Linked DNA regions of Rattus norvegicus. The protein of the gene in region 1 purifies or fractionates together with the protein of each later gene. This does not show direct contact. Links are inferred from orthologs where the notes say so. Each region holds a gene or a part of one and is shown in the gene's direction. Other genes may lie near its edges. The genes, in order: Pop1, Rpp25, Pop4, Rpp30, Rpp38 and Pop7.

The links.
Region 2: the proteins of Pop1 (region 1) and Rpp25 purify together in Homo sapiens (affinity purification with mass spectrometry; 3 studies listed by BioGRID and IntAct, counting the BioPlex papers as one, with this or other methods). This does not show direct contact. The link is inferred for Rattus norvegicus from reciprocal best matches to the Homo sapiens genes POP1 and RPP25.
Region 3: the proteins of Pop1 (region 1) and Pop4 purify together in Homo sapiens (affinity purification with mass spectrometry; 5 studies listed by BioGRID and IntAct, counting the BioPlex papers as one, with this or other methods). This does not show direct contact. The link is inferred for Rattus norvegicus from reciprocal best matches to the Homo sapiens genes POP1 and POP4.
Region 4: the proteins of Pop1 (region 1) and Rpp30 purify together in Homo sapiens (affinity purification with mass spectrometry; 5 studies listed by BioGRID and IntAct, counting the BioPlex papers as one, with this or other methods). This does not show direct contact. The link is inferred for Rattus norvegicus from reciprocal best matches to the Homo sapiens genes POP1 and RPP30.
Region 5: the proteins of Pop1 (region 1) and Rpp38 purify together in Homo sapiens (affinity purification with mass spectrometry; 3 studies listed by BioGRID and IntAct, with this or other methods). This does not show direct contact. The link is inferred for Rattus norvegicus from reciprocal best matches to the Homo sapiens genes POP1 and RPP38.
Region 6: the proteins of Pop1 (region 1) and Pop7 purify together in Homo sapiens (affinity purification with mass spectrometry; 3 studies listed by BioGRID and IntAct, with this or other methods). This does not show direct contact. The link is inferred for Rattus norvegicus from reciprocal best matches to the Homo sapiens genes POP1 and POP7.

Annotation. Positions count from the first base shown.
Region 1 is NC_086025.1:67,600,541-67,604,040, forward strand, and holds part of Pop1 (ribonucleases P/MRP protein subunit POP1), read left to right. Parts: intron 1-356; coding exon 357-444; intron 445-865; coding exon 866-1,053; intron 1,054-1,938; coding exon 1,939-2,195; intron 2,196-2,517; coding exon 2,518-2,611; intron 2,612-3,500. UniProt on the Homo sapiens protein: Component of ribonuclease P, a ribonucleoprotein complex that generates mature tRNA molecules by cleaving their 5'-ends. Also a component of the MRP ribonuclease complex, which cleaves pre-rRNA sequences.
Region 2 is NC_086026.1:66,801,842-66,805,142, forward strand, and holds Rpp25 (ribonuclease P protein subunit p25), read left to right. Parts: upstream 1-1,420; 5' UTR 1,421-1,605; coding exon 1,606-2,205; 3' UTR 2,206-2,801; downstream 2,802-3,301. UniProt on the Homo sapiens protein: Component of ribonuclease P, a ribonucleoprotein complex that generates mature tRNA molecules by cleaving their 5'-ends. Also a component of the MRP ribonuclease complex, which cleaves pre-rRNA sequences.
Region 3 is NC_086019.1:100,102,257-100,106,364, reverse strand, and holds the start of Pop4 (ribonuclease P protein subunit p29), read left to right. Parts: upstream 1-1,308; 5' UTR 1,309-1,466; coding exon 1,467-1,473; intron 1,474-3,535; coding exon 3,536-3,588; intron 3,589-4,108. UniProt on the Homo sapiens protein: Component of ribonuclease P, a ribonucleoprotein complex that generates mature tRNA molecules by cleaving their 5'-ends.
Region 4 is NC_086019.1:243,215,713-243,218,885, forward strand, and holds part of Rpp30 (ribonuclease P protein subunit p30), read left to right. Parts: exon of another isoform or gene 1-639; coding exon of another isoform or gene 640-801; intron 802-1,050; exon of another isoform or gene 1,051-1,095; coding exon 1,096-1,212; intron 1,213-1,732; coding exon 1,733-1,762; intron 1,763-2,140; coding exon 2,141-2,178; intron 2,179-2,816; coding exon 2,817-2,896; intron 2,897-3,173. UniProt on the Homo sapiens protein: Component of ribonuclease P, a ribonucleoprotein complex that generates mature tRNA molecules by cleaving their 5'-ends. Also a component of the MRP ribonuclease complex, which cleaves pre-rRNA sequences.
Region 5 is NC_086035.1:79,821,998-79,826,167, forward strand, and holds the start of Rpp38 (ribonuclease P protein subunit p38), read left to right. Parts: upstream 1-1,370; 5' UTR 1,371-1,480; intron 1,481-1,792; 5' UTR 1,793-1,960; intron 1,961-3,995; 5' UTR 3,996-4,005; coding exon 4,006-4,170. UniProt on the Homo sapiens protein: Component of ribonuclease P, a ribonucleoprotein complex that generates mature tRNA molecules by cleaving their 5'-ends. Also a component of the MRP ribonuclease complex, which cleaves pre-rRNA sequences.
Region 6 is NC_086030.1:24,825,004-24,827,702, forward strand, and holds Pop7 (ribonuclease P protein subunit p20), read left to right. Parts: upstream 1-1,157; 5' UTR 1,158-1,350; intron 1,351-1,549; 5' UTR 1,550-1,559; coding exon 1,560-1,982; 3' UTR 1,983-2,199; downstream 2,200-2,699. UniProt on the Homo sapiens protein: Component of ribonuclease P, a ribonucleoprotein complex that generates mature tRNA molecules by cleaving their 5'-ends. Also a component of the MRP ribonuclease complex, which cleaves pre-rRNA sequences.

The DNA of each region.
Region 1 (3,500 bases):
TGAAGATGCATTTGGCTTTTGACTCGGATGGCTTAAGAATACCTGCTAATAGCAGTGGGCAGGGTTTAGGTTTTGAGTTGTTGAAAAGCTGGCTTCAGGGAATTGATTGTGTTTTTAGAATAGGTTTTCTGGTTGCCTGAGATGTTAGATCAGATCCCCTCTGGACCTGGAGTTACAGGCAGTTGTGAACCACCCAAAGTGGGTGCTGGGAATTGAACTTGGGTCCTGTGCAAGAATAGTTTGTGCTCTTAACCTCCGAGCCATCTCCTGTGTTCCTCAATGGGGTTACTGGCTTCTTAGTATTTTTACCCCATAACAGAGCATAGAATATTTAATTATGTTTCTCCTTTGTTCAGGATTTATCATATTACTGTTGTTTGGAGTTGAAGGGCAAAGAGGAAGAAATACTGAAGGCACTTTCTCAAATGTGCAGCATAGACACAGGTAAATTCTAAAGCTGTGTGCTGCTTTAACCTTGTATCTGTTCATTTGTAAATGAATGTCCATTATAAACACTACTAAGCACCTCACAGTTTTAATATGGAAATGTGAGATATTCCCAGTGAGTATGTTAATTTAAGAAAGGTTGAGTTGATATTTAAATCTTTACTAACATTCTCAGGTGTAAAGTGAGCCATTATTCTGTGGAATAAACTGAGACAGAAACAACCTGAAACTCACTAAATCATTGATTTAACAAATATTTCTTGAGACCTTACTCTGTGCCCAGTTTTCTTTTAAGCTGTGGCCAGAACTAAAGCTTCTCTCGGAGACTGACAATTGCTAATAGTATTCTCTCCGGAATAAATAACGCTGTGTGTGAGCACAGCACCTGCAGTTACACTGTTTCATTTGTGTGTGCCAGGACTGACTTTTGCTGCAGTTCACTGCTTGTCTGGGAAGCGGCAAGGGAGCCTCATGCTTTACCGGGCAAATAAGTATCCCAGAGACATGCTTGGGCCGGTTACCTTCATCTGGAAGTCTAGGGAGACCCCAGGGGACGCCTCTGAGGAAAGGCAGCTGTGGATCTGGCTTCACCCAACTCTTAAACTGGTATGTCTTTCTGTTACATTCCATCTAATTACACAGCGAGTGGAGGGCTTTAACCGTACACATGTGGGAGTCTGCTCTTTCCTTCCACTGCGTGGACGCTTATATTCATAATTACCACTGGGAGACAGCATTTTAGACATTTCAGGGTATACAAGTTTGGCTGACAGTTTGATGTTATACTTTTTTTAATGAATCAATTAAAATGTTAGTTTCCATCCATTCCTCCCTCCTTCCCTCCCTCCCTTCCTTCCTTCATTTGTTTCTGAGTGCCTGACTTTCCTGTATTTGCTGTGTAGACCAAACTGGCCTCAAATTCAAAATGATCTGCCTGTTTCTGTCTCCCAAAAACCCATGTGTCGTCATGCCTGACTGATTGTCTATTTTTTTAAAGATATGTTTATTTGTTTTATGTGAGCACACTGTAGCTGTCTCCAGACACACCAGAAGAGGGCATCAGATCTCATTACAGATGGTTGTGACCCACCATGTGGTTGCTGGGATTTGAACTCAGGACCTTTGGAAGAGCATCAGTGCTCTTAACCACTGAGCCATCTCTCCAGCCCCTGATTTTTTTTTTTTATTTAATTTTTTTTATCTAAAACTATTGAGCAAAGAATGGATATACTTAGCTTGACTATAATGATTTGATAAATATGTATGCATTCGGTAATGTTTAGCATAGTGAGCATACCCATCTCTGTCAATATAACTTAGAACACTGCATTTAACTTAAAAAATTTAAGGATTTACTTATTTTCTATTTTATGTGTATGCCCAGTACCCATGGGGGCCAGAAGAGGTGGTTTAACCATTAAGACATATATCTCTTGAGCCCTCTGTGTTTAAATTTTGAAGATTAAATTAAATGTTTACGTACTTCCTTAGGCTGTCCTAGAGGAAATAAAAACAACGTGCCAGTGTTCAGAACCCGTCAAGCCAAGTGTCTGTGTGCCTGCCCCACTCCTGACACCAGCCCAGGAAGACATTCAGGCAGGACTAGCTGATGACAAAATCGGCAAGAAAAGAAAAAGGAGAGATGATGGGGAAAATGCTAGACGAGCGAAGAAGACCATTGGTGACGGGACAGGAGATCCCTGCCAGCCACGGTCGTGGCTCTCTCCCACTACAGGGATCGTAGTCAGGTAGGAGGGGGTTCAGAGTGAGACTGTCCTTGTGACAACACTCGAACGCCACTCCCCCCTCCCCCCTTCCCCTTTGTTTTTTGTTTTGTTTTTTCAATAGAGGGTTTCCCTGCCTGCCTTTTGCACTCACTGCATACACCAGGCTGGCCTCAAACTCAGACTGCCTGCCTCTGCCTCCCAAGTGCCGGAATTAACGGTGTGTGCCACCCTGCCCGGCTTTCTTGTGCTGTGTGCCACTGTGTCTGCTATGACTTGTCCCATTTTCGCCAGTGGTAGAGACACCATGTGTGATGGACGTTTCTGTTTTCTGGTCTTCTCTCAGTGACTTGACCATGGAGATGAACAGGTTCCGGCTGGTCGGACCTCTTTCGCACTGTATCCTGACCTCAGCACTGAGGGCTGCTCCTGTACACAGAGTGAGTAAACGGCAGATTTGTGAGGCCTCACATACGATCTCCTATCCCAGTGGGTTGCGTCGTAGTGAGTATTTCCCAGCTTGTTTTTGCTAATTTTTGTTTTAATCCTTGACTTCTAGAAGATGGAATCTCAGTGGGTGTGGCAGTCAATTGGGTATTTAAGTGCCATCCTCTGCTTGCTTTCTTGATTCTGTAGAAGGTAATCCCTGCTCCCTAGATGGGCAATGGGATATCTCTAAAATCTCTGCTTTTTTATGTCCGTTTCCCCCCTTTCCTTCAGTTTTTGTTTTCTTTTAGTTTGGCTTATCTGACTGATTTCTGGAAAGTTTTGAGCAACATGTCTCATGTGACAGTGTTGACCACTTATGTGACTGAGCGGCCGAGGAACTGATTTGTACCTTTATTTAATTTTAACTAAGGCTCTTGTGACCTGTGTCCTCTCACACCTGCAGTTCTCCCCTCACCTTTGGTCTTTGGCCATGTTGGCCTTCAGGCTCTAGAATGTGCTACTTCCCATTTCTGTCACGACTCACACCTGTTTTCCTTCTGCCTGTTGAGCACCCTGTGTGCTACTCTCGGTTGGGCTAAATGTCCCTCGTTCTTCAGGTTTCAGCCTGTCTCCTGCACTCTGCACTCCATCTGGAACCTTCCCCTGCTCTGGTTATCTTGCTTGCCTGTTGTTTCTGTTGCATCTGCACATTCCTCCGTTTACAGGTACATTCTGCTCTGCATTAACATTTCTTGACATCTGTGGTTCCGGTGGCAGGCAGTGCTGGCCCTGCCCTCTACCTTGTCCCCAGTGCTTAGCACAGTGCCTGGCATACAGAGGTCTTGTATCTGCTCACAAAGGATGGAGTGAAGATTTGAATTCAGAAGGCTTGATTCTAGG
Region 2 (3,301 bases), on another chromosome or scaffold:
GACAGAGTCCCAGTTCCAGCCACACTCCTGGAGTGTGAGCAAGAGATTGGAGTCAGTCACTCACACTTGAGGCAAAAAAAAAAGTCCAGGTGCTGCAGCCACACTCCAAGAAGAGATGAGATATAAGGCCAGTGTTCTGAGCCGCGGGGCTGAGAATTGTCACAGACAGCAAAGAGGAAGAGGAGGGCCGGGTAGCTCTACTCCTAGACTGAAGCTATGTTCATCCAGATACCATCTTGCTGATACTTTGGAGAACACAGTTCCTTACAGTCCTTAGTGCTTCTTCCTTCCCTGTGCTTTAACAGGTCTGTCTGACTCCCTGCCTTTCGTGGAAGCCGGTTGAAGACTGAGGACATGGTCCCAGGGGAGGATTAGATAGGGTCACTCTTTATTAAACCGTCTTCCTTTCATCAGCCCTTGGCCCCTAGCCTCATCTTTCTACGCTCATCTCACCTCCCAGCAGAGCCCGAGCCTCTCCTTAGATTCTGTGGAGTTTCCAGAGTTTGCAAGTACTCCCACCCCCAACATTCCACCAAGGCACTCCACCCTGCCTCCCACCTCTTAAAACCTGCCTTCTCTCCGTTTAACAAAAACAATCCTCTGGATTTCTAGAGGCCAAGGCTGACTGGCAAGGAATTCCACCTGGAATTGGAAGTCAGAAATCCGCGTTAGCACGGGCTGAGCCACGCACTTAAAAATACACGCAGCTCTGGTAACGGACTTTCAGGCATAAATGTTAGAATTTAACGCCTTGGAAGAAATGGTCCCCTGTTCCCCATTCACTTTAGGCAGGCCCAACGCATCACTTCCCACATTTCAGAGATGTATAGGTGCCGGGAGCCTGGAGGTATGATCAAGAGGAGCAAAGCTGAAACTTAAGTCATTCCAAGCAGCTACTGAAAGACCAAGCCACGACGTAGCGGTCCCAGCCCAGGGAAGGCGCTGCGTGCAGCCGCAGCCAACGCCTCCCACACTCTGCTGACCATGCACTGGCTGTCCTTGACGCAAGAATATATAGAGAGAAAGGGAGGGAGGTCCCTGGAGGGCTGGAGAAGCGAAGCCCCAAGAGGTGGTTTGGAAATCTCTTACCTAGGAGGGGTCTAGGGATGCCCTTGAGCTGGAACTCGCAAGGCTTAGGGACTAGGCTTGAATCGGCGTTTGCACCTCAAGCATAGTTTTTATTTAGGTTGTTCCTGCAAGAGGGCTGGTTCAGGGAGGACAGATGGTGACTTCGGGGAACTTCACCTCCCAAACCACCCCTGCTCAGCCGCTGAGCACCAGCGCTGGATCCCAAAGGCTGGCGGGGCTGGGACTAGACACGCAGAGTTGGGGCGGGGCCTGGACTAAGGGGCAGGGCCTATCCCGCTCCCAGGCGGAGCTTCTGCTAAAGGCGCGGAGCACAAGGCTCCGAGGGCGCAGAGTAGAACAGCACTACCCTGTAGAAGTCTGGGCTGAAGACTCCGCGTTCCCTGCTCACCCTCCAGCTTTCACTCGGTGCCAGCATCCCAATTCCTGCCGGCCCTCGCCCGGCACGACCCGCGGCCATGCAGCCCCGGGCTTGAGGCGGCCCCATGGCAAAACCTGCGATCCCAGCGACGACGGCGCATGGAGAACTTCCGTAAGGTGCGCTCGGAGGAGGCGCCGGCGGGGGACGGTGATGAGGGTGGCAGCCCGAGCTCTGGCCCTTTTGCAGATCTGGCGCCTGGTGCTGTACACATGCGGGTCAAGGAGGGCAGCAAGATCCGCAACCTGCTGGCCTTCGCCACCGCTAGCATGGCGCAGCCAGCCACGCGCGCCATCGTCTTCAGCGGCTGCGGCCGGGCCACCACCAAGACCGTCACGTGCGCCGAGATTCTCAAGCGCCGCCTGGCGGGCTTACACCAGGTCACGCGGCTGCGCTACAGGAGCGTGCGCGAGGTGTGGCAGAGCCTCCCGCCTGGGCCCACACCGGGTCAGACGCCCAGCGATCCGGCCGCCAGTCTCAGTGTACTTAAGAATGTACCGAGCCTCGCCATCCTACTTTCAAAGGACGCACTGGATCCACGACAGCTTGGCTACCAGCCCCCGAACCTCAGTCCTGGTCCTTCGTCCCCTCCTACCGTGTCGACGTCCAAGAGGAGCCTGGGGGAATCTGCAGCTGGAGAAGGCACAGCTAAGCGGTCTCAGCCTGAGCCAGAGGCTGAGAATGAGGACCGGACTGCCTGAGAATTCTCGCCTCTGAACCACCTAGACTGGATCTTATATCTTCAACACACCTACATCCACATGCACCCTTCCTACCTGGGTTTTAAGGGGCCCATGTTCCTGAATATTGGTCCTCAAAATGACAACGCGGATCCCAAGGCGACAGGAGAGGGAGCTCAAGAATTACAAGAGAGGATTCTTGAAGTCCGAGGAAAACTTTGTGGGACATGTTGCCAGAAGCCACAGAACACCACCCACACCTTTTCTAGGCCATCTTTTTTAGGGAAGCCTGGTGGGTAGTGGGACTCTTGAGCTTTCTTGGGGACCCAGACGTTAAAAGCACCCAGTGTGCATGGAGGCTGACAGTTGAGGCTTTAAAAACCGTCCTTGTTGTTAACTGAGAGCAGGAGCTGTGAAGCTGTTTCCTTGAGGGTGACCAAGTTGAAAATGTCTGGACCCTGTTCTGCCCACCCACACCCTAGCATATTCCTTTTAGCTTCCCCCCACCCTCACCCCTGTTGCATGGTGGCAGAGACGGGACCCAGGAGGAAACTTGCCATGCTTCCTCCCCTGAGTCCTGCTGGAGTATTGCTTCCAATAAAACAAACATGAAAATGGCTCCGTCCCCAGTTTTGTCTCTTTTTTTTCCCTTACCCGCTCGCCTGTGCAGAGCCCACTTTGGCATGCTTGCCTTCAGCCCTATTAGCCTTTGGAGTCTTCAAGGTCAGACGCAGACGGGGCAGCGTCAAAAATGTCGAAAGAGGGACTTGTGGTGGAGGGGGTTGGAGGTCTGTGTCCCTGTTGTATCCCCACAAGGGAAAGGAAGCAGTGTTGCTGCTTTTCTGGGAGGGGAAGGAGGGGGAGCCTTGACGAGCTGGAAGCGGCAGCCTGCCAAGGCTGGCCAACCATGCTAAGGTTCTAACCTTGCACCCTCCTCCCAGTAGCCATTCTTACCCAGAGGCAGGCACAAAGCCCCAGGAGCAGGGGCTCCCCTTCGCTGCCCTCTCTCTGCAAAAGGACAGCACACCCTTGGGAGAGGGGGAGGGAGAGAGACAGCACAAATCCACTGCTGGAAATTACTATTCAGCAGAGAAGCTTGGGCTGTGAATCACTGCAG
Region 3 (4,108 bases), on another chromosome or scaffold:
TGAAGGATGCTTTCTGGGTTGGATGTAATGAGAGACTGTAAATTCTAATGCTCCAGAAGCTCAGGCAGGAATATTACACTTTCAAGCTCAGCCTACACCACACAGCAAGTGTCTGGGAAACTTGGTCTTAGGAGTGAAAAAAAAAATCAGTTTAAAAAAGCAAACATTCTTAGACCATCAGAGTGCAATTTAATGAGCATAGGAAAGGAAGGAAGGCCAGCCGGAAGGAGGGAAGGAGGGAGGGAGGGAGAGAGAGGAGAGGGGAAGAAGGGAGGGAGGGAGGGAGGGAGGGAGGAAGGAAGGAAGGAAGGAAGGAAGGAAGGAAGGAAGGAAGGAAAGAAAGATGCCTTTTAGACATATAAAAATGTTTAGTCAAGGAACCCCACTACACCAAAGGCAGCACCTGATAATCAGAACCCAGTTTCATCACTCATTCAAGACAACTAGCCAGTCCTAGAACCCCATGCCACCCAGTGGAATTATATAAGCAGACACCAAGAGCAATTGTCTGGAGAGAAGCCACCTTGATCTGCCCTGGGGCTGGAGAGCCACCACCACCACCACCCCACCCCCGTACCCCCTCCCCGAACCCTACTGCCAGGATCCAATCAAAAACTTCTGTTAGAGACTGGGCCTGACCTTCAGCTAAGATAAGTCACACAAGAGGGGTAGCCTTAGGGAGATGATAGGCTTAGGAATGTAGTTAGGAATTTAGGGGGTGAACCTATGTAATGGCCCACAGCATAATAAAATGTAACTTTTGTTATACTAGCTACACTAACTGGACGTATCTACCTGCTTGCTCAAGACATCAAGTAAATCAAGTAAAAGAGACCTTTAAACGAGGTTATAAAGGTATTTAGTAGCAGAAACAGAACTAAATCCCCGGCCACCAGTACAAAATGTGCCTATTAATCTCGGGAGTAAATTCTGGGTCACCCGGGGCCACATTGTGAGCCCCTTGCATAAAAAAAAAAAAAAAAAAAAGTCGTTACCGCCGATATCCCCGGACCACTTGTGCCCTCCCTAGTCCCCGATCTCCCTCACGTCCTTTCTATGTCAGCTTGCCTCGCTATACTTCATTAATCCTGACCCTCGACCCGACCGCTCTCGGCACAGTCGGTTGCAAAGTGAACGACACAGCGAAGACCTGCAAACCTCGCCCCTCCCTCAAGCCACAGAGATAACCCCAAGGCGCATGTGTTGCCAGAGACAGACGCACATAGATGCCATCACGCCGATGACGTCAGAGAGGCGCCTGATCCGAAATTGACGCCGGCTGGAGCAAGTCCGTGCAGTTTGTAAATTGTTTCTTGGGCTTATCGGATTTTTTTCAGGTGGAAACTTAAACTTAAACAAAAAAGCATCCAAGTGGGGGTAAAAACCTCTGAACAAAGCGAAGAAAGGAAAAGAATGCATGAGGCCTGGAGGAGACATCATTAGAGCGCTCCGGAAGCTGGCCGACAATGAAGGGTAAGTGGAATGAGAGGCGCGGAATGGGGCCGAGGTGAGACTATAGAGCACCGGAACCAGAAGTTGGTCTGTGAAATGAGTCAGGGACACTTGTCAGAAGACATCTTCCAGGGAATGGACTCAGTACACAAATCGAGGCCCCAAGTCTGAATCGGCCGACTCAGTCTCTTAGCTAGGAATGGACGTCAGGATCGAGTGTGTGTGTGTCCTCCTCAAGGGCTTCTCAGGGGAACTAGAAGAGGTAGGTCCAAGTCCTTGACGGGACCTAGCCACTACCTTCCCATATAACTTATGTCTAGGGCCTGCTCCCCTCTACTCTCTGGCTTTTCACCCTTGCCCCTGCCCCTGTAAACACTGCTGAGGGGCCGTGTCGCACACCTAAGGCGTTGATATTTGAGCTGAAAAGACCTGCACCCAGAAGGGCAGTTAAGCACTGGAGCAGTATTAGAGTAGAGAGGGGATGCCGTAAAGATTAAGCCTCTGATCGGGCGATTCACACCCCTGTCCGTGCCCTTTTCTCAGAGAGCAAGTTTCTTAGCATGTCTTAGCTACAACCTTACTATGTGCATAACAAGGAGTAACTACTGTTTTAAATTGCTTAGAAAGATTAATGACATTAATATATACATATTATGCATACATATATGTGTGTATATATATATACACACACACATATATATGCACACACACTCACTCAACCAACTGCTCAACCAGCAGTGAGTGTCCCCTACCTGTTGCATGTTGCAGAAAGACTTTCAGTTTTGATGCTAGGCATCTGGGGTCAATACAACAAAGTTCTCCCTGGGGTTCCACTCTCAATAAACAAAAAAAGCACAATCTCAATCCATTGTTCAAGGGAGAACTAGATGCTGTATATAAAACTTGTAAGTGCCTTGGTTTGTTTGCTTGCTCAAGCATGTACTCAGGGAAACAGAGATGGATTTTTGTTTGTTTGTTTGTTTGTTTCTTACTGTTGCTGTTGGGATACAGCCAGCTATGTTCTCCTGGCTGGCCTGGAACTCACTGTGTAAAACCAGCTTGGCCTCTACCTCTCAAGGGATGGGGATGCCACCAAACTTAGCTCAGAAGTGGAATGTATGGAGTATGGTGTGAACTGCATTTTCTGGTCATGAGCCCCATGATGCTTTCCTCCAAACAAATGAGAAACAGGAGGTTTAAAGAGGTTTTGGCGGGGTTGGGGATTTAGCTCAGTAGTAGAGCGCTTGCCTAGGAAGTGCAAGGCCCTGGGTTCGGTCCCCAGCTCCGAAAAAAAAAAAAAGAACAAAAAAAAAAAAAGAGGTTTTGGCATCCTGAAGATGGTATTTAGAATTTGGAAAGAGACTATTGTATCTTATCTGGTCAGGATACATTATAGATTTTAAGGTGTGAAAAAACCTCTTTCAAGCCTCTCCGTAGTCAGCAAAATGTAGTGTTTCAACCATACGCATTAAGATCGCCTCACTTTTAGTGTCTAGACTTACTAGACTTACTGAGCCACTGCCCAAGCGTAATTATAACTCTTGGGTGTTTAAAATCAGATTAACTCTAAATGTGACCCATTGAGGAATTTTTTTGAACATGCAGAGTCGAGTAGGAACCAAAACCCTAAATTTTAATAAGATCTCAGTGATTCTTAAACACATTAAGCTTTGAGGGGTGCTTTTCTAAAAAAACTACATCCTGGGAATTTCTAGGATGAAGTTGGCAAGAGGGAAGGGTAGTGTGGTACATGTGTACCACTATAAGGTCAGTGTGGTGGTACATGTGTATAATCCCAGCTACTAGCACTTGGAAGCCTAAGACAGGACTGGTGTGGGTTGGAGGCCAGCCTAGGATACAAAGCAGACACGTAAGAGGGCTGGGGTCTACGTCCACAGTGAAGCACCTGCTCAGCATACATTACACTCCCCTCACATTAGTCCTCCAGCACTGCAGCATAAAATAAAAGGATCATCTTCTCTGAGTAAGTGTAGTTCTTGTCCTAGTTGGAAAAGCCTTGGCTATTATACTCGTTCCTAACAGGAAGAATCATTTCTCCTTGTTTTTGTCTTTCGTCCCCCAGCTGTGATCTACCATGCCTTTTCTCATAAAGAAGCCAAGGACCACGATGTGCAGGTACAGTCTGTCAGAGGTGACGGCAAAGGAGGCTCGGGATCTTCTAAGGCTGGTGTAACTGTCTTTTCCCATGGATTACGCCTCTCCTTTCCATTCTGTGTACTAGGCCCCATAAAAACCTTTTGTGCTGATGTCTTCATGAGCCAGACTCCTTCCTTAGGCTACCAGAGTCAGCTCTGAGGGACTTGGACTCCTTGATTTCCTGTCATCCCCCTCTCTGTAGGGATGACAGCCTCGCCCACCTGAAACCAGTATCCTGGGCAGTGCTCAGCCCGTTCCATAAGCCGCTGTTAGGAGTTTTGTCTGGGTGTTTCCGGATGCTTTGTCATTTGGGCAGAAGCTTCACCTATGGCTCCTAAAGGGAACATGTCCTTGAAATCAAGACTTCAAAAGGCCCGTTGACCTTCAGTTTTTAATCCCCAATGAAAGAGAGGCCACCTAGTTACAAGATCCGAAGTGTCCTCATGTCACTTGTTGATGAATTGTTGAGCTATCCCTGCTTCAGGCACCTCGAAGGTTA
Region 4 (3,173 bases), on another chromosome or scaffold:
TCCTGGAAGAAATGCAAGCCAGAGAATTAGAAGTGGGAAAGACGTAGGAAAATGTAAAAGCTTCTAGCGTTAAGACCACAGGACATACGGAAGACAGGTAGGGGTGGAGCAGGGAAGAGGAAGAAACGTCAAGGAAGAACAGGAGCCTTCGCTGGAGAGCTCTAGGTGACTTCAGGTCTACGACATCAGTCCCTCCACTCCCGGGACTGAGCAGTGAGCTGCATAGAAGCTGGCCTACAGGGGGTTGGGGATTTAGCTCAGTGGTAGAGCGCTTGCCTAGGAAGCGCAAGGCCCTGGGTTCGGTCCCCAGCTCCGAAAAAAAGAACCAAAAAAAAAAAAAAAAAAAAAAAAAAAAAAGAAGAAGCTGGCCTACAGAGACTGACACTGTCCTGCGTGGACAGGGCCAGCTATCCTCCTGCACTTATTCAGGATCCACTGTAACCTACATGACTTCAGCAATTCCTGTCTGATCCTTGCCTCCATACTAAAGCCCCTCACATGTTTCCCCTGGCTTTCAATGAACCTTAAACAGAGCTAGACAACATGGGGACGGGTCCGTGAGTCTCAGCCACAGTGTTTTTCTAAGTAACACCATTCTTCACACATAGCATTGTTAGCCATGGCGGTCATTGTTCAGTTATGCAACTACATGTAGTAGGTGACATAGCTGTGAGGGTCCTCGCTCTTGTTCCTCAGGCCCTTCAGGTCTTCATCTCCTTTTCCTTCATTGGGGGTCAAGTTGCTTGGCTGTCTGTTGGCTCAGTTTCCCTACATATGGGAACATCCTTTTCTTTGGACCGTGTGAGTAGCGGCTTTGCGCCTCCTCCCCACACAAGCGTTGCTGTCTTCCCCCTCTGCAGTTCCTGTTTATATTGGTAGGCCCCACAGCTGACTAAGCTCTGTCATAGCCTCGTGTCTGTCTTTCTCACACAGATGGGGTGCAGAGTTGTGGGTCTGCCTTTCTTTAAGCCAGGCCCTTCCCGTGCAGGAGACATGCATAGAGGGGAGAGAGGAGGTGGAGACAGACTGCAGGGGAAGTAGTTAACATACTTGTCTTTGACAGTTTACACTTTGTCTTCTCTATCTCTGGGAAAGGCGATCGAGCGAGGCCTGGGCTTTGAGCTGGTCTATGGTCCTGCTATCAGAGACGCAACCATGAGAAGGTACACAATCTCCAATGCCCTCAATCTGATGCAGATCTGCAAAGGAAAGGTATAGTTCCTGCGCCCAGGGTGCTTTCTGCCAATGGCGGTTTAGTAGTGTGTCCATGCTGTCAACTGACTCCTGGCCTTAAGCAGAAAATTCTCAGGACACTAGATTCTTCGATTTCAAGGAGCTTTGCAAGAGTTTGTAAAAACTCCCCAGGGAGGAGTAAGATACGGAAGAAAGATGTGCCAAAAGCCCCTGGTTTTGATAAGGGATTTGTAGTTTGCCACAATGAAAAGTTAGTAGTTGATTATCGCTGAGTGAGTTAAAGTTACAGCTTCTAATTCATCTGCACTAAGATGTATTCACAAAGTTTATTCTGCTTTTATTATTGGCAGCCTTGAGTGTGACATGAGAGCTTTTAATGGTTTCCCACTAATTACCTACCTTATCTTTAAAAAAAAAAAAAACGAAAGTATTTTAGTCTTAAATGTTAAAACGGGATTGCTGGTCATTTGTTCTATACAGTTCTTCAATTATTTTATTAATTATCTAAGATTAATATTGCTCACTCTCTGTTTTATAGAACGTAATTCTGTCCAGTGCTGCAGAAAGGGTAAGCATAGCATGGAATACCTTGTCTCCGTGGTTAAAACGTCACTGTGCTCTCAGGACAACTGACGGACTGCCAGTCTGTGCTTTTAACTGATTTGCCATGGTGATTGCTAAGTATATCCCGTTCATGCGGCCTTCAGGTTGGGCCTGTGTATGTTTATATTAGGAAATAACTAGAAAACAGTGGTTTTACTTCTCCCTTTACCTTGTTAACAACGCCTTTATATGGTTTGTTATTTATTTTTAGAAAATTATCACAATTATAAGGATCTTAATTTATGAAATTTACTTATCTTTGGATACTGAGTTGTACTTACTTATTGTAAATAATTAAAATGTTAATAACATCTCGTTCTATTTTCTGTTTTCCTTATGTCAGCCTTTGGAAATAAGAGGACCATATGACGTGGCCAACTTGTATCCTCTGTGTTCTGTTTAAACATGTGTTCCTATTGGGTGTTGATCAGAAGACAAGTTCAGGAGTTCGGTCTCTCCTTCCATCCTGTGGGTCTTAGGCATCCGTCCTAGGCCACAGGGTTGGCAGCAGGCACCCTTACCTTCTGCCATCACATTGAGCTAGAATTTTCCCTTAGAAAATGTAATCAAAAGTGCTGTTAGAGTTAGCCTGATGTTCCTTATCCTTTGGTTGGAAATTTCCTGATCAGCTGCCTCACAAGCCAATTACAACCAGTTGTAGACTTCTTTATCCTTTCCTGGTTTTCTTTGTTTGTTTGTTTGTTTGTTTGTTTTCTTTTTTTCGGAGCTGGGGACCGAACCCAGGGCCTTGCGCTTGCTAGGCAAGCGCTCTACCACTGAGCTAAATCCCCAACCCCCCTTTCCTGGTTTTCTGATTAAGCAGAAGAAAAGAGAGGCGAGGGACTATGCAGGATGAAAACAGTTAAATGAGGCTTCTCAGGTGCAGTCTCAGTCGGGCTAAGACCTGCTGTAGAGTTAGTCTGTCTGCCACTGTGGCCAGGTGAGCTGTCCTCTGTTTGTGTTCGTGTTGTCTCCTACCCTTTGGCTGACTGGGTTGAAGTCCTTACTGACCCTGTCAGAGGGCTGCTGTTCGGGCTGTCCGAAAATGAAGGCAAGGCTGCCGTGTCCACAAACTGCCGAGCTGCATTTCTCCATGGAGGTGAGCATATTCATATCGTAGGGTCCCAGAGGCAGGTCATCGTCAATAATTGACGTATGTGTGCCCGTTACCCTTCCTACAGAGTTCCCATAAGGAACCAGTTCTAACCAGTTCTAACCAAACGCTGGTCCCTCCCCTCACTTCAGGCTTTACTTTCTGTAGTGTGCGTTATATGTCGTTATATGTCGTTTGCCTTACAGAAGTGACTCCACAGTGTCCTCTGCCCACATTCTCAGAGGCCTTTGACTCCCTCCTGCTTCTCACTGGATGGTCTCTC
Region 5 (4,170 bases), on another chromosome or scaffold:
AGGGGCTATTTTTATCATTTCACAGAAGGCTAATTAACTTGCCCGAGGCGTAGGTACACTAGTTAGTGGTAAGGTTAAGGTTTGAACATAGCAGTCTGGCTACCTTTTTACACTTTTTCTCGCTCCTTCTTTCTGCTTTTTTTATGGTGTGTAGGTTCCTGCCCCAGTCTCCCACGCGCCAGGATTTCATGTGAACCTTTAGTATTTCAATTCTATCACCGCGATTTGTCTTCAGCGCACCAGGACTGCGGGTTATAGTAAAGAACGCTTTATGAGACAAAAACCTGTTGGCACACTCAAAACTCGTCCTGACTTCGTTCTTCTTAATCAACTTTTGGTAGAAACCATAGCACACGTTCCCTGTAAAAACTTCAACAATCCTTGACCAAAAGCAACCGCTTTTGTTTTGTTTAAATGTCCAATAAGTGGCGAATGATGAAAATGCAGAAGCTAGACTATAAACGTTAGTTTAAAACGAGCAATGAAGACACCTAGAAGGAAAATAAAGAGAAGGACCCGAATCTCCATCGCCCAGCCTCAATATCAGGATCAAAGGTGAGCCTTTCAGTTCTGGATTGCAGTTCATTCCAGATATAGTCAAGCGGACAACCAGGAATAGCCACTACACCTCCCAACGTCCTGAGAGGTCAGAAAGGAACAACAGCAAAAAATCCTGTCAAGTGTAGCCAACAGAATTTTAATCTTTAGCACGCTATTCCACTGTTTTACTAGTTGTCTGTAACTTTCCAGTGATTTTGTTTCATAAAACACACACACACACACACACACACACACACAGTCTCCATTAGTCAGGAGGCACAACAGATATTGCCGGCATATTCTGGAGTACCGCTGTGGAACTGAACGCAGCCCTTATTCTCCTTTCAGAGGGCCCAAGATTCTCCACATAAATTGTAATTACACGCAACCCTGTTAGCCCTACTACTTATTTGATTTTCGTGGTGGCGCGGCGACGTGGGCAGGGGAATGAATGGGTGGCCATAAGGGCTGGAGCTTTGCGTCCCTAGAACGAAAAGAGACGGCAGGCCAGAGTTCCCAGGCAGAACCAACTTGGCTAAAAACAGCGAGCGGAAAGGAGAGATCCACCTCTCACAAAACCAGACTCCGGGAGCTGCTTGGTACATCAGCATCCTTAGACAACCTGACAGAAGCGCAGAGGCTGGTTACTACAGCAACCACAGACTCTCGCGAGACAGACCGTACGCCTGCGCAGTGCTGCTCCAGAGCTCGGTCCCAGGCTGAGGGATTTTACGCAGGGACCACTCTCGGTAGCCAAACTACGGCTGACGTTCCTTACTAGGAGTGACGTAATGCAGAGCGGCAGGTAGGCGGAGCTCGTGTTCTGCGCACGCGCGCAGCAGGCGCACGTGGAGCGGGCGCCGTGGTCCCCGGTGGTGGCGGAGTTGCCGCCGCAGTGAATCGATCTGTCACGTGGTCTCCGCGGGGCGCTTCTGCACAGGTGGGTGCATGCGAGTCCGTGGTCCGAGTCCCAGCCCGTGGGCACCCGGGTCATCGCGGCGTGGGGTTCATCCAGTGCCCGGTCTCCCTGAGGTTCTTTCCGGCTGGCCTCAGGCGATCCCGGCCTCCTTCCGTCGCGTGGTGTGACGTGAGACATCATTCCCCCGAGACTACGGGAGCATCTCTGCTGCTGACGGCCTATCCAGGGTCTCTTTCCCCAAATCAAGGTCTCTCTGTGACCCATTTCTAATAGCGCCACCCTTCTGAAAGTCTCTCTAGAGTCACCACCATCTTGTCCTTACTCCAACTCTAGCATCTCTGTCCCGAGCGATACTGAACTTTAATACTCTTCTGGGATACCTCGCAGCCCGCTTCCTTCGGAAGGAATTCTTTTAGAAAGCGGTTGTTACGGTCATTTCCTCCAGAGAGACTTCTTTTCCTGACCCTCTCAACTAAGGTCGCTAACTGTCTGTTCCTCAAGGTATGTTCCTCAAGGTACTTCACTACTTTGGCTTTAGAGTGAGCCGTTTTTATTAGTCGCAGAAGCTGTTTGCTCTGCCCCACGCCTAATAACCGGGAGCAAGGATAAGTCCCAAGAATTTGATGGAAAACAAAACATCTGGTGTGTGAGTGCTATACCAGGCACAGTGTACGCTTAATAAGGACATGAGAAACTAAATGTTCAGAACCTGTAATATGGGTGGTGGGTGAAAGCAGAAAGGTTTGAGATGGGTGAGTAAAAAGGTAAACATTTTGAGTTTGCAGTTAGTCCTGTAGGCAGTGGCAGCTTGCAGACATAGTTGGCAAGGCGCTTGAGCAAGAGCAAGCTTTGTGAACCCGTTACCGTTCAGCATTTTAAAAATTCATATTGCATGGCAGTCGCCTTATGTAGACTTGGCTTTTTTCCACCTCCCCTTCTAGGTTCTTGTAAATCAGAGTACATCCCAATCTTGCAGTCCCCTTGGTTGCAGAGCATCTGTGAGTGTGTCCCTCTTACACTGACGGGCTAGGCAACACAGTAACTGACTTGTAGTTTGGCAAGAGCTGCGGTGGGGCTGTTTGTCTTGCTTCCTGGTCATTTCACCTACTGCTAGATGCCAGCTGCTGGTAGTCACCTCACTAGATCTAGATGACCTGTTCTTGAGTCTGAACTTGTGGGAAGTATGCAGCTGTTGGGGCATTGATTGGAGCAGTGCAGTGCGTTGTGAGAAGGAAGCCGCTATTAGCCAATGTCTGTGGCAGTGGGGTAGCATTGACAGAATCAAGATTGCAGCTTTTAGTGGGAGGAATTCTGACTTTATGTGGACGGGGACTAGAAGGATCAGGAGAGGAGTGAGTCTGCAACACCACTTCCTACAGCTGTCCAGTTTGGAAATGCCACCTGTCCCACACCAACCTCCAAACGTTGGGCATCTTTCTACCAGTACCTCTGGTGAAGCTGTACTCCCAGAAATCCCAGCTCAGTAAAGCCATCTGACTGTTCTTAAAAGCCAATCACAGGTTATTTCTAAGATGGAATCATGATTAAAAGTCTTCAGAAAAACTAGCTGTGAGTTGTACAGTGAATCTGCTTCCTAATCCACACTGGCAAACTCTTGTGTTTTAGGACTGGATGTGTGGAGAAAGCGCCCTGAGTTAGAGGAACCTTAATCAGAGGGGACTTATTTTGTCAACTGGGTCTTTATAGTTCTCAGATGAACTCTAGGAAGGAGACAACAACTGAGAGGAGTACACATGCATATTATTTATGTATACATATATATTATATATAATATCTACCTACATACTTAGTTGCCTTTGGGAAGAATAAACAGGATCTAAATGAATGGATGCCTGACAAGGAGCAGTTGAGAACATCCTAACTTGTTTGTGAGGTTAATATGATATAGTCACTAGGAAGAACAAATAGGCCAGTGGGTTTGTGGGGTTTTTTTTGTTTTGTTTTGTTTTTTCTTTTAGGAGCTCAGCCCATTTATTTCTCCCTAATGAGTTACTCTCAGAATTTCACCACAAATTTCTCCTATTTTTCATGAAATTGTCAGCCAAAGCAGGAATTTTATGATCACATGAGAGGGGAAATAAACCTGTATGTTTAAAATGTTTTAGGAACTTGGGGATCATGAGAGGAGGGAGACTTACAAAGTTTTAGCCATGGAGATAGATCATTACTATTTTGGTTCTTAAAATCCGACCTAGTTCTTTATGAACTTGAGAGAGTCCAGAAGAGAAGTTCTGTGTGAGCAGTTGCAGGGAATTCAGAGCCCACCAGCAGCTGTGTCTGGAACACCATCTGCCCACTGCAGTAAACGTGCTTATAAATGAATGAATGGGGGGTTGGGGATTTAGCTCAGTGGTAGAGCGCTTGCCTAGGAAGCGCAAGGCCCTGGGTTCGGTCCCCAGCTCCGAAAAAAAGAACCAAAAAAAAAAAAAAAAAAAAAAAAGACGAGAATATACCCAAAATATTCTCAAAAATGCACTGCCAACATGACTTTTATCATTTTTGCTTCTTTCCAAAGGGTTTTCAAGATGGCTGCAGCTCCTCAGGCACCAAAGAGGGGATCTATTCGGAAGACTAGACCTCTGGTTGTAAAGACATCACTGAACAACCCCTATGTCATTTCCTGGAGCAGCTTGGAGAGAGAAGACATGCACTTTATCCTACAGACGCTGGAGGACAAGTTTAAGTCGATC
Region 6 (2,699 bases), on another chromosome or scaffold:
TTGCTGAGATGACTATGAGTCCAACAACAATACAAAATTATTAAATTCAGTCTATTTATTTGCCACAAGTTTTAGGATAAACACATTAATATGGTGCAGTCATGCACACCTGCAACACTAGCAGGCCAAGGCAGGAGCATGAGTTTTAGGTTAGCCTGAGCTACATAGTTAAACCCTATCCTCCCCACCACAAAAAAGATATTTTGGTTTATATGTGCAACTCTTCCTGAGGTTCCCCTAAAATGTTCATTAAATATATAGATCAACTTGGAGCGAACTAAGGTCTAAAATGTTAAACCTTCCACTTTAACCGAAATCCCAAGAGTTATGGGTTGTAGCTCAGTTGAGTGAGTGCTCGATAATCTTGACACTCACAAGGTGGAGGCAGGGGAATCAACTTCAAGGTTGGCTATACAGCAGGGTGCACAGTTCTCTTTCCAGCCTTCAATCAGATTCTACCTACGTAAGTGGTCTGGAGCTATAGGACGAGGTCCTAAATACAGGTCTCACTCACATCTGCAGGGAACTGTCCAAAGGCTTTAACAATCTGGGCAGAGATCCAGTCCTCACTAACTTTAAGGGGTTAGGAACCCAAGTACTGCAGTTCTTGTCCCTTCCACCAGGGAGCGGCTGGTCATGATTGCCGGTCATGGAGGAGCAGCTTGAGTGCGGCGGGAGAAGACAGTTAAGAGGTGTGGCGGGAAGCTGCAAACGCTTGGCACCTAATGTGGGTCCCTTGCAGAGGGAGGAGCCCATTGTGGACATCCGGCCTTAACTCGATCCCTTCGATTTGTCGGCTTCCGGATCTCCCAGGACCTCGGGCGGGAGGTCAGCTGTCAATTCCACTGCTCTGAAGTGATTACAGACTTCCGGCCCCTGGGCGATCCCAGCTCCAAGGCTGACCCCGGGCTGAAGTTCCGAACCCTTTCTACCAACCCTGCTTCCCGCCTAGATCCATGAGTCCCGCCCCTCCAGGGGAGGGGAAAACTGGGTGATCCACACCACGCCTCTCTTGGGCCCGCCTCTGTCAATAAATCCCGCCTCTGCTAGCTAGTCCCGCCCTTCCAAGCGCTCAAGAATAGAACGCTTCGAATTCACAAATCTCGCGAGACTTAATTCCCTCGCACACGCGCACGAGAAAAGGGGCGGAGAGAACGGAGGCCCAGAAGGCCACAAGCTTATGGATTCCGGCTTGGAGCGGGGACACGCGTGCGCAGTGTGTAGCCCTTGCTGAAGAGACTGCCTGGCGTTCCTGTTCGGATTCTTTATTCTGCATATCGTGGGCAGCGGGGTCCACTTGGATCGGTCGGCGAGGTTCACACGAGTGAAGGGCACTGTGGAGGGAAGAAGGTAGGCGTGGAAACGCCGGGAATGGGAGCCACGTGATGAATGAATTAAAACTGGGAGTGGAGAAAGCGGAAGTGGAAGGGATTGAGACGCTAGGAAGGAAGAGGGCGTTGAGGGCGCCCCCTTCTGGTTGCACCCTTAGAAAGCTGGGCAGAAAAGGATTCTGTCATTCTTCCTGAATCTCGTTCCTTCTCCATGCCAGGACTTAGAGCATGGCAGAAAACAGAGAACCCCGCGGTGCCATCGAGGCTGAGCTGGACCCCGTGGAGTACACCCTTCGGAAACGACTTCCCCACCGCTTGCCGCGGAGGCCCAATGATATTTATGTCAACATGAAGACTGATTTTAAGGCTCAGCTAGCTCGCTGCCAAAAGCTGCTGGACGGAGGCACTAGGGGGCAGAACGCATGCACTGAAATCTACATTCATGGCTTGGGCCTGGCCATCAACCGTGCCATCAACATCGCCCTGCAGCTGCAGGCAGGCAGCTTTGGGTCCCTACAGGTGGCTGCTAATACCTCCACGGTGGAGCTGGTGGATGAGTTGGAGCCAGAGACTGACTCTCGAGAGCCACTGACTAGGATCAGGAACAACTCAGCCATCCACATCCGAGTCTTCAGGGTCACGCCCAAGTAACTGAAATCAAGCTGACTTTTCATCCACCAAGTCCTTTGTGCACACACATCCAGGCTTCATGTGGTTGAGGTTTCTAGGGGTTCGTATGGCTCTTGTTCTGAGTTCTGTCATGGACCGCTTCTCAGAGCTTGTTATCTCAGCGTAGAGAACTGGAAACGGAGAGCCCGAGAAGCGAATCTTCCTTGTCCCATATAATAAAATGTTAAGTTGTGTTGGTACCGGGCTTCGAATGGTCTCTTCTTCCTAGTGTGCTTGAATAGGGATGGTTCTTCCTGTGTGTACTTGAATGGGGTAGGAAACTTTGCAAATATTTAGGCCACAGGAAAGGAACCCACCTTAGACCACAATATGACAAATAAGGAGTTTGTTGAGTGTAACACAGAAGCTTAACTTGTTACAGTGTGCACTCAGGAAGGTTAGAGAGCAGACTCACCTACTGAGCCAGCTCCAGCTGGTTTGTCTCAGGCTCTCATAGTTACCAGGCTTGGGAAAAGAGAAGTTTTCAAGGTGAAGGACTGTGGATCTAATTCAGCGAGGAAATTGTGTTACCTAGTTGCCTAGCATCAATTTAGGCCCCAGGTTCGATCCCTAGGAACCCCAAGAATTATGACGGGGGAGGATTGGGGAGATGGCTCAATAGGAAAGGCACTTACTTGTCAAACAACCATGAGTATTTGATACCCAGAACTCATTTTATTCTAGGCACTGTAGCACGTG